Diceros bicornis minor: one gene and its partner. The protein of the gene in region 2 purifies or fractionates together with the protein of the main gene of each other region. This does not show direct contact. Links are inferred from orthologs where the notes say so. Each region holds a gene or a part of one and is shown on either strand. Other genes may lie near its edges.

Region 1 (5,482 bases), on a different chromosome or scaffold from region 2:
CAGGGAGGACCGGGAGCAGTGGGCAGAACAGGGGGCCATGCGTGCACACAGCGGGACCTACGCAGCCCCAAGTGCATGTCCCTCACAAGACCTCACAGAGATGCCCCAACCAAAGCATGCACTCAAGGATGGCGATGAAGCCCGACTAAGGAGGAGCTGGGAGAGCTGATGGGGCAGAACGGACTCTCCCTGCAGGAAGTGCGGCCCCAGAGCAAGGCACCACGGGCCAGAAGAACACGCTGTAGGCGCCACAGGAGATGGAATGAGCAGGGACAGACCAAACCCGGTGACAGAGAGAGGCCCCCCACGACGAGGTCCAGTAGGACCCACATGGCCAGCCTCAACAACGCCCAAGTTCTAGAGCATAGGGAACGCAACTCCCAGACCGCACACGTGGCCAGGCTGAAATCCAGAACAATGAGGGCAATGACGGTGAGCACACACGGCAGCTACGAGGGCGGGCACTGCCCCAGCCCCTGGCTCTGTCCCCGGCCCTGCTCCAGTCTGTCCTCTCCCTGCCCCAGCCCTGTTCCTGTCCCCCAGCTCTATCCCCTGCGCTGTCCCCCAACCCTGTCCCTGTCCCCCACCCTATGTCCCTGGCCCTGCCAACACTTAGCACATGCTCACTCCTGTGATCCCATACCGCTTCATGATGCCATCCCCACCTCAGACATGCATGGAGAAGCCACACGAGGAGCCCCAGATCACCCGCTGGGATTCCCCTGGGAACGGGCTCAGGTCTGTGCTCTGGCCGGCTGTGGTCACTCCTCTACGGAGATGCCGCCCCACACAAGAGTGCAGGGGCTGCACTGACTCCCACGGGCGGCTCTGCACTAGCTGCAGGCACCCTCAGTGCCCATGCTGCTGGGGCCAGCTTTCTGCTGAGAGCTCCTCTGTACGTCTTATACAGACGAAGCTGCTCTTCATCTTACAGACGAAGAGCATGGTGGGTCCTGAGAAGGAGAGGAAAGGTTCCGCACACAGACGGCCTGGTCCCCACTCTCGGCCCCACAGAAACCTGACTTTGCAGCCGCCTAGAAAAGCAGGAGCAGGCAAGGGGTTCACCTCCGTGACTGCTCAGTTCAGGGTACCCGGAAAAAAAGCCATCCGCCTCCACTTCTCCCCGCCCCAACCAGTCTCAGAGAAGATCAGCATTAAAGGGTCTGGCCCTGGCCAGGTTCTGGCTTCTCCAACACACCGCCGGCTTAAAAGTTGTCCTCCTGGGCATGCCCGGGGCGGCACCCTCGTTTCTCAGCAGGCGGGCAGGGGGCCAGGCTGGGGACCCAGCCAGAGAAAGCTCTAGCCACCAACCTCAGGTGCGGCTACAGCTCCTCCTCCCACAGGCAACTCTGCGCTGGGGGAGGGGCGGGAGGAGGAAGCTGAGGGCCCTCAGCCAGCCAGGCTGCCACAGGACAGACAGACCACATGGCCCCTCCCCGCCGGACCCCGGAACAGCCCCTCCCAGGAGGAGGCCCATGCAGCTGGATGTTGACCGGGAACTGCAAAATGTGCAAGATGGCCACCGAGAGTTGGGCTCTGCCAAGGAGCTTACACCATGGCAGGCATCTTCCAACCGGCGATCTAACCAACACCCACCCAAGGGTGTCCCCAACCCAGCCTGCCCCCGACAGTCCAGGTTCAGGGCCCCAGTGGGGAGACAGGCTGGTCCCCAGTGCTGCTTAGAGTGCCCGTGAGGGTCCTTGTTCTGATATCTTTCAAAACACAAGGGGGACAAACCCGTGCCTTGAGACAAACAGAATTGGGTCCAGATCTCTTGAATTATTGAGGAAACAGACTGGCTCAGAGAAGGGAGCGCAGCACAGGGTTTGCTGAGTTCAACGGTGTGGGTGGCTGTCCCAGGCCCTGCTCCACCTGCCTAGATGGGGCAGACCCCCACCACCACCTGCGTAGTCCGGGCAGACCCCACCCCACCTGGCAGACCTCCCCCACCTCCACCTGCCTAGACAGGGGAGATCCGCCCCCCAACCTCCACCTGCCTAGTCCAGGCAGACCCCTAGCTGCACGGCTGAGCCCAGGACATCCAGCCAGTGAGGGAAGGGTGCCCCCCACAAGCTGAACGTTGTAATTTTATACATTTTTAAAAAATGGGTGAAAACCTCAAATACCAGTACAAAGCCTGTGATAAGAACAAGCGCCAATAAAACAGCCTGAATAAATTCCAGTGGTGGAGCAGCGCCCACCCTGCCCGCTCCTCAGGGAAAACCTCCGTCCCCCGGCCCCACCGCTGCTCCCCCCGCCCCCGCCCGAGCGGCCCAGCATCACCCGGCGCTGGGAGGGGGGACCCGGGAGGGAAGGGCCCGGCGGGCTCCCGTGGGGCAGGGAGGTGACTGGCCCTGCAGTCCTCGCCGGCAGGACGTTACCGTGCCCAGGAGACACGGCATCCTGTCCTTTCTCTCAGAGCCAGGTCGGCAGTGTACCCGGGAGCGTGTAACGGGACACTGAGAACAGGGAGGTGACCTAGTGCGGCGGCCGAGACCCGGGATTCCGGAGTCCTGGCGGGGTGGGATGCCGGGGTCCGAGGGTCAAGGATCAGAGGCTGGGAGGAGCTGTGGGTCCGAGGGACTGGGGTCCGCGGCTCCGGGGGTTCGGGGGTCCACGAGTCAGGGGTCAGGGGCCGGGGGTCTGAGAGTCTGGGGTCCGGGAAGGGCTATGGGTCCGAGAGGTCGGGGTCCCAGCGGGGCGGACACTGGGGGTCTTAGGAGGCGGGATCCCCGGGGCGGGGGTCAGCAGGGTCGGGTGACCGGCGCCCCTTTGTGTCACCTGCGCGGGCGGCGGCGGGGGCGGGGCGGGCGTGACGGCGGCGCCGGCGCACGCTCACTCGCACGCAGCAGCTCGCGCACGCGCACGGCACTCCCGCGGCCCCGCCCCGGCCCCGCCCCCGGCTCGGCCCCGCCCCCGGCCGGGGGCGCGGGCACGCCGGCGCGCACGCGCACTCGCACACAAAGCCGGGGGCCCGCGCGCCCGCCCCGCCCCGGCTCCGCCCCGCCCCGCCCGCGGCCGGAAGTGCGCGCGCGCGGCCTTACCAAGCGGCAGGCCCTTGTTGAGCAAGTGCGAGCTGCCCATTGAAAGGCGCGGGCGGCCGCGGGCCCCGACCAGTCCGGCGCGCTCCGCCGCGAGCCCGGCGCGTGGGGCGGCCTGGGCGCCGTCCGCTGCTCCGCCCGCTCGCCTGCGCCCGTGCGCCGCCGTGCCGAGCCGCGCCGCGCCGCGCCAGCAGCCGCTCCACCGGGCGGGCGGGGACAGGGGCGCGCGCGCGGGCGGGGCTTCCGGCCCAGCAGCCTCCTGGTTCCAGGCGCGGGCGCCGCGCTGCACCACGCGGGCGGGCGGCTGCAGGCCGGGCCCGCCCGCCCCGCCGGGGCCACGGGGCTCTCCCCTGGCCTGTACACGCGCGCGCACAGCAGCACACGCACCTGCCCTGCACACACAGCTGCACACGTACCTGCCCGGTTCACACACATGCACACGCACTTGCCCCGCGCATGCACTTGCCCTGCACAGGCACGTGCATTTGCACACGTAGCTGCCCCGCACACGCACACGCACACCCTGGGCCGAGCCTGCCCCACACACGCACCTGCCCCGCACCTCCTGGGCGCCAGCGGCGCAAGACCGGGCTAGAGGCCTCGTGAGCACGCTCCTGGGTGCCAGTGGTTTACATGTCCTTGGGCCCAAGCCAGGAGGCGCTGCAGGTGCTCAGCCCGCGCCGCCTTCCGGCTCCGGGCGGCCGCAGGGTAGCGGGAGGCCACAGGTCGGAACTCAGAGGGTTTCTCTGGGAAAGCTTGGCCTTACACTTGGGTTCCAGGGGGCGCATCTGGGCCAGGCGGCCTGGACGGGAGTCCCCGGGACGAGCTTCCCCAGTGGGCTGTGAGCAAAGCGCCAGAAGCCAGCACTGAGTAGTTAGAGCAGAGACACCCCTGAGCCCAGGTGAGGTCCCTGGGAGGTGGCAGGTGTGTGGGTCCATGCCCGGCTCCTCTGGCCACCACCCCCAGTCCCTGAGAGAGCAGCCTGTGCTTAGTTCCGGAAGTCCAGAGGGGACCCAGCCCCGAGGATCATGGCGGCTCCCCTAAGGTGGGAGCTAGCCAGGCCCCAAGGGGAAGACAGGCACCATAGCCGTCCTCTCAGGGAGAAGCACGTCATTAGAACAGGACAGCACTAAACTATCAGTACAGCTCCTTGGAACATAGTGGACGATCCTGAAATCAATCCTGTAATCTATATGTTTTTAAAATTCATAAACCGATGAGAAAGTGTAGGTGGATTCAGTAAAGGATGATAGGGAACTGGGTAGCTATTTGCAAAATTGATGCTTTTAAACCCTCACTTGGTACTCACCTATGAAAATACCTCCCAAATCGGATTAATTAGAACATGTAGGGAAAATGAGAAGACAGGATGTAAATGAGCAGTTAGCAAACTTCTCAGAGAACTTTCCTAAATGCAGACACAAAAGCAGTCGCAAAAGAAAGAGCAAAATTCCAGAGCAGGGTGCGTGTCTCACGCACACGTTCCCGCTCGTTCCCCCAGGCAGAGGTTTACTCATTTAACATCGTACAGGACCAGACCCCCTGACGTGGCCTGGACCAGCTCCTCCAGCTCCTCCTGGCCTTCTCGGTACCTCTAGCGCTGAGACCCAGGGTGCCCCTTGATACCTGCCCCCTCCACCTCACAGCCCTCAAACCAGGGTCCCCCACATCACTTCGTCCCTGGGAGTGGCCCCAGACTGTAAATCAGATTCCATTGTCCCCTGCTCAAAACCTTTAAGGTTTCTCCTTGCACTAGAGAGGAAATCCAAGCTTCTTATCACAGAAGGCTCTGGGCCTGGGCCCATCTCCATCTGCCTCTAACCTCCCTTCCATTCTTCAGCCAGGTGCCACCCGCCCCCAGCCTGCCATGCTCCAGCCACATGGCTCTTCTTCCCAGTGGCCACAGGGCCTTTGCACATGTGATTTATGCTGCCTTCCCCTGCTTTTCCCATGGCTACCTTCTCCCCCTTACCCTTATGCCTGGTATAGCAGTTACCTTTCTATCTGGGCTTTCTTCCTGCTATACTGTCAGCTCCCTGGCGTCAGGGGCCTCTACTCCCCCACCCCCATGTATTTGAGATGGGAACTGCTCAATGGAGGTGTGGGAAGAATTGATGTACTGTTCTGAACGTGCCTGTCCCATGCATGCCTCCTCAATCCTCAGGGCTGGCCAGAGGCACCAAGACCACAGGCTCCCGCCTCCAGGAGAAGGCCTGGGGATCAGTCATGCCACCCTGATGCCCTCCACTCTCCCTCAGCCCTCTACACCTTTGTGCATGGCCCTGAAGAGCCTGAATCACCTTCAGAGAACTGGCCTGCAGACAAGGGCCTGAGGCAGGTAGATGAGAAGCTCATTCCTGAACCGGCTGTCTCCACCGCAGCCCGCAGGGTGGACCCCGACACCTAGGACAGTGCCACCCACCCAGCCTGGCCCATGTCAG
Region 2 (6,181 bases):
TAATTTTTGTGAATGGGTAATACTTGCACATAGGTCAACATCCATTTGATTTGGAAGATAATTCAGGAAGTAGAGTCCATAGGACTTGATGATTGGGTGTGACAAAGAAGGAAGAGAGAGGCCTATGTGGATTCATGGATGGTGCCCAGGTTTCCAGCTGGACAACTAGGGGGCCAGTGGGACTAGTCATAGGAATAAGGGGCACAAAACAAAAGGTGTAGATCCTGGGGTAAGGGGGCAGGGATGAACTAAGGCTACCGTACCTATGGATCATATGGCAGTATCTTGACCAGATGCAACTGATAGATTTGCCCTGGAGTAATTAATATCTTTCTCCTCCTAGTCTTGTGCCCACTATCTAGGGGTCTCCTCTTTGGCAATCAAGGCACCTGGGAAGCTGGGTTAATCATCAGAAGGTTTCAAGGTGAACAGAGAACATCCTAAAGGGAGTTGGATGACCCTGTGAGACATTTCCTTCTGACTGTGGAGAAGCCAGTGTGGTAGCCCGGTAGCATTTGCCAGGCCCCTGGCACTGCCAAACACCTTACATGCGGTAATCTCATTTTCATTCTCCCAGCAACTCTTCGAGTTAGGGAAGATCCTTTCCTTTTCAGAATGAATGACTAGAAACAGCTAAGGTGTATTGAGTGCTTACTATGTGCCAGGCACTGTGATAAGCATTATTCATAAATTATCGTGTTTAATCTTCACAACAATAAAGTAGGTCTAATCAAGAAATCTATTTTACAAATGAGGAGACTGCCCAAGTTGCACAGCTGCTAAGTGACAGAGCCAGAATTTAAACCCAGTCCTGGCTGACTTTAGTGCCTCTGCTCTTACCTGCCAGTCTCTGCTGTCTCCTGCGTTTCCCTCTCCCACCCTCCCCTACCCACCAGCTGCTGGAAGACAATTCCTTCTTCATGAACACACTCTTAATCTACACATAGCACTCCACAACTGATTAAATTTTCATTTGATTAGGGTAGATACAATCCAGGCTGATTCAATTCTGCTTTTTTGAAACCATCTGAAGTCTCATCTTGATTGCATTTGTGTGATCCTTGTTTCTCCAGCCACCTCCAACATGGCTGACTTTAGGGTCCCAGGTAAAGACCCAGAGGAGCGGATGCCAGGAAGGAGCTCCATGCATCAGAATTCCCAGTCTACAGCGGAGCCTTCATTTCTGGGTAGGTCCATGGCCCCTGACTCCTCTTTGCAGAATTTTCCCACGAGAGGTTCCTCAGATCTTCCAGAGGCCTCCTGTACCTAGTCCCACAGTAATTTTGGCTAAGCCAGCTGAGTATGTTTGAATGCTGCTTAGACTCAAGCTGGATCCTCTGCAAAACTAAGCAAATCTTGTCCCGAAGTTCAGAAACTCTTCACACAATCGGGTGAGCAACTTTCCACACGGAAATGATGGGCCAAGTTTCCAGATGTTGTTCACATTTCTTTCCTCTGTCCTCTTTACTGTGAATGTGAGTATAAACTATTAAAAATAATCGAATCATTCCTGAAGGCCAGTTTTGACCTTAGCCTTACTTGTTGAATCCATCCTCTAACAACTCTAAGATAAGGAGGTACTGTCCTTTTCAATTTGCTTGCTTTTTTTTTTTTTTACTGCAGTTTGGGTGAATTAGGCCTGAACATCACACAGAATTCCTCTTTGTTGGCAACCTGAGTTGCTTCATTAAGATTTTCGCTCCTAGGTTCTTATTCTCATCATTCATTTAAAAAGCCAACAACAAAAACCAAAGTAAACAATAATAAGCAAACACTAACTAAGGAGCATGAGATTTGAAATATGTTAAAAAGCTTTTAACTATCTCCATAGATACTGGATTGGGGGTTTCCTTGGGGAACACCAACAACCTTGCCACCTCCTCAAGTTGCAGTTTACCCAAGGCCAAACACAGCGGAATCCTGTAATGTGTAGGAATGTGAAAGCATGCTGCGAGGCTCTCCTCTGCAAAACCGTGTTGTCACACACATTGCACTTTATTTATATTCAAGTGTTTTTCTCCATCGTTACATTTTTGCTTTTTTCCATCCTTACATTACCTTTAGCACATTACGTTTTCGCTTTTTTCCATAATTACATTATCTTTAAGGCGCTGTCTAAACGTGGTCTTTTATTAAGCTGGTCTGTTGCGGGTGGGTGAAAAGAAATACCCTAAAATGTCCTCAGGTCCCAGACGTGTTCAGAAAAATAATTCCAGGCTCCTTTGGTGAGAGGGCTGATAGAGGCAAGTGGACCCGTGGTGGGCAAGAAACGAATTTAGGTCTGGTGCTAAAACATCTTCCCACTGCTGTGGTTTTCGTTTTCTGATTATCAAAATAATATATGCTCACTGTCAAAAAATTGTAAAATTCAGAGAAAAGGGAAACAACTCGTAATCAGCGTGATTTTTGGACGTGAACCGTTCCCTTTCGGAAAACGATGGAGGAGAGAGGACGCACTGGGTCTCTGGCCCGGAACACGGGGCGGCGGGGTACCCTCTGCCGGCTGGATTCAACCGAGGTTCGCACGACCGGCCGCCCAAGGGCCCGGGAAGCAGGGCCATCCCCACGGCGCTCTCATTCGGCCACCTGCGCGGTGACCTGGCGCCTTCCCCGGCGTCGCCCCCGAGCTCCGTCACCCCGCGGTTCCCACCGGTCCCTACGCGGAGACCCAACCCAGGCACCTTCCCCCGTAAGTGTCCACCGACTGAAAATAGATGCAAGTCCACCCCCGACCCCCCCTTCAAATCCTCCCCTTTAAAGGGAGCCACCGGGTGACGCCGGGGGAGTTTGCGGAAGCGCCAACCGCGTTGGGGCCTTGGGCGGATCCCGTGATTGCAGCTAGCCCCGCCCCCGGGTCCTCTTCCCCCATTGTGTGAGCGGCTCGGGCTCAGGCCCCGCCCCCTCGCCGCCTCCCTCCGGAGGCCCAACCCCTCCCCTTCTTTTCACCCCCCCTTGGCTCATTTCCGGCCGCCGCTGCTACCGCTAGCCTGTAAGGAGGATTCGGCAGAGGGAAGAAACAACAGCCGCCATCTTGTTTGTGTGCTAGGCTGGGGGGGAGAGAGGGCGAGAGCGAGCGGGCCAGAGTGGGCAAGCGGGACGCCGGGCTGAGTGCGAACTGCGAGAGCGAGAGTGCGGAGGGGAGCCGGGCCGGAGAGAGGCGGCAGGGGCCGAGACAGTGGCAGGGGGCCCGGGGCGCACGGGCTGAGCGACCCCCAGCCCCCTCCCGTCCGCACACACCCCCACCGCGGCCTGGGAGCCGGGCCGGCGTCGACGCCTAGGGGGGACCATTACATAACCCCGCGCCCCGCGGCGCCTTCGCCTGCCGCCGAGGGCGGCCCCGAGCGGAGCCCCGGGGGGCGGGCGCTCCCGGCACCTGGCCGCCGGGGGTGGGGGCCGTAGCGGCGGCCGTATTTATTTATTTTCCGCGGGAGAGGAGGCCGCCTGCGCCGCCCGCCGGAGCGGGGCCTCCTCGGTGGGCTCGGCGTCGGCGCGGGCGGGCGGCGCTGCTCGGCCCGGCCCCCTCGGCCCTCTGGGCCGGCGAGCTCCGCGCCCGGCGTCCTCGCCGCGCCTCCGCCGCCCGCCGCGCGATGTGAGGCGGCGGCGCCAGCCTGGCTCTCGGCTCGGGCGAGCTCTGTGCGGTCATTAGGGGCCGGTGCGGCGGCGGCGCGGAGCGCGGCGGCAGGAGGAAGGCTCGGAGGGTGGGGGCGCAGGTCCGGGAGGGGGCACCGGGAGGAGGTGAGTGTCTCTCGTCGCCTCCTCCTCTCCCCCCTTTTCGCCCCCGCCTCCTTGTGGCGATGAGAAGGAGGAGGACAGCGCCGAGGAGGAAGAGGCTGATGGCGGCGGCGGAGCTCCGAGAGACCTCGGCTGGGCAGGGGCCGGCCGTGGCGGGCCGGGGACTGCGCCTCTAGAGCCGCGAGTTCTCGGGAATTCGCCGCAGCGGCCGCGCTCGGCGGATTTGTGTTCCTGTACCCTCCTCCGGGCCTGGGCCAGGCCCGGCCCCTCGCACTTGCCCCTACCTTTCTATCGAGTCCGCATCCCTCTTCGGCCAGCGCGACCCGGCGAAGAGAAAAAGGAACTTCCCCCACCCCCATCGGGGGCCGGCGGAGCCCCCCAAGCCCACCCCAAGGAGCGGGGCGGGGACCCCGGCCTGAAGAAGAGATTGCCCGAGGATTCTCGTTTTCCTCGCCTGTATCTCCGAAAGAATTAAAAATGGCCGAGAATGTGGTGGAACCGGGGCCGCCTTCAGCCAAGCGGCCTAAACTCTCATCTCCGGCCCTCTCGGCGTCGGCCAGCGATGGCACAGGTTAGTCTCGGGAGCCCTGGCCCTCCACATCCCCCTGAATCTTTGCTGCTCGGTGCACCTTTCTTCTTCCAGATTTTCTTCCTTTCTCTCTCTTCCTAGTTCTCTGCCTCTTGATTAATTTTAAAGGTGTTTGAATGAGCTGGTCAAAGACGTCCAGTAGCCCAACCATTTTCTTTGCTTCCTAATACATTGGTTGCAACACTATGTCATATCGATGTGTGTTCTGGAATTAGAGTTCTTGAGTGGTGCTGTAGAAATGGCCTTTATTGTTGCTCCCATGGAATTTAATTTTGGAAATGCCAGTGCATTTGCGTGTAAGGGTTTTTTATGCAACCCTACTTTTAATTTGTTGATAAATGAGGAATTGCCAGTCCTTTCTCTTTGATTGCACTTATTCTGTTTTCTCTACTTTCGACTCTTCCTTTTCAAGATTTTCTCTTCTTTGCACGAGATTTTCTGCTGAGTATGAGTGTGTAAAAAATCTTGGTTTTGTTTATTTGTGTGTGTGAGATGCAGGATTTCAGGTTTGACGTGAGTTTTAACGTCAAAACTGAAATTTGATTTGAATTATTTTACCTACCGTTCCTAGCTTTTTTTTCTTTTTTTTAATCTTCTTATTTGCTTTAAGAATCAATATGGAGCGCAGTTCATTTTACATCTTCCATTTCTTTGGTATGAGACCAAAATGTCTGAAACTCTGGGTTTTTAGGGTGGGAGAGAGCAGAGGCATTTTCTTTGCAGTTTGTTGTCACTTTCTTTGGGGGGGCGCAGGAAAAATATAATCGATTTTGTGGAGTTATGTACTTGGAAATCAAGATTAGAAGTTGAAAGAGCCCCAATCATGAACTGCAAGCATGAGCTGATCATACAAAAGTTTAAAATATGCATTAGGTTTCTATTTGTGTGTTTTTGTTTTTTTACGCTTTTAAACGTATTTGGAGATCAAGATTTCAGTTTAACAAGGCTCTACAAATTCTTTGCTTCACAAAGTTGTGGACTAGCCTTTTGTCAGGAGAAAGTCTGGGAGACTTCCTTCCATCGTCCTCTTCTTACAGTTAGTTTGGTGCTATTCTGATGGCCCCCGACCTTCTCTTTTGCTGTCATAGTTGTTTGAGGTGCCAGGATAATGAAGAGGAAGAATGGCTGGCTATCTGACAGTCCACAAGATGTTCCCCCTTACTACGGAGCATCTCTTTAACTCCCGAGAACAGGCTCAGCGTCATCTCTCCATCTGCCAGTGAGAATGCATAATGGAGTTAAATGTACCCTTTGAGTTTGTAGAAAACTTCCTAAGCATGTTTCTAAGTAGGCTTCGCTTCAAAGGGTGAAAATGTAAGGCTATGGCAAATGCTTTGGATTCTTTGCTCTTACGAAGAAAGATGTATCGTGAGTTTAAGATAACCTGCAAAAATTGAGGAGTTTTGCAGAGTTCCCCTGCTTCAGGCTTGTCACATTGGCAATGCGTGAACTTTGATCTGTCCTTATTCCTTGAAGTTTCTCTAGTCTTCAGGGATTTTTTTTTTAACCTGTCTTTTTTTCTCAGAATTCATACACATATCGAGTATTGTATTTCTTTGCACTTACTCAAATGTCATTCAGAAGAATTTTTAGATCACCTGTAGACACATTTTCACCTGTAGATTTGTGTTATTTCTTTAGTTTTTATGTAATGTGGTAGTTTTTGCTCTTTAGTTTCTGTGTAATGTGGTAATTGGTTTTTACATTTGAGTTAGCCAGTGAGTTGGGATATTGTAGAGAAAACTTTATGTGCATTGTTTTGATGACTTCTGATCTGAGCCCCTTAGTCTTGGAGTAATGCAAGGCCTGAAATGTTCGAACACCTCTCTTCTGGTGCACTCCTGTGTTCTCCATATTTGA

The links. Proteins that work in one complex are often made in the same cells at the same time.
Region 1: the proteins of EP300 (region 2) and CTBP1 purify together in Homo sapiens (affinity purification with western blotting; 5 studies listed by BioGRID, with this or other methods). This does not show direct contact. The link is inferred for Diceros bicornis minor from reciprocal best matches to the Homo sapiens genes EP300 and CTBP1.

The regions. Positions count from the first base shown.
Region 1 is NC_080747.1:643,558-649,039, forward strand, and holds the start of CTBP1 (C-terminal-binding protein 1), read right to left. Parts: upstream 3,584-5,482; 5' UTR 3,085-3,583; coding exon 3,045-3,084; intron 1-3,044. UniProt on the Homo sapiens protein: Corepressor targeting diverse transcription regulators such as GLIS2 or BCL6. Has dehydrogenase activity. Involved in controlling the equilibrium between tubular and stacked structures in the Golgi complex.
Region 2 is NC_080764.1:9,284,625-9,290,805, reverse strand, and holds the start of EP300 (histone acetyltransferase p300), read left to right. Parts: upstream 1-2,995; 5' UTR 2,996-4,209; coding exon 4,210-4,303; intron 4,304-6,181. UniProt on the Homo sapiens protein: Functions as a histone acetyltransferase and regulates transcription via chromatin remodeling. Acetylates all four core histones in nucleosomes. Histone acetylation gives an epigenetic tag for transcriptional activation.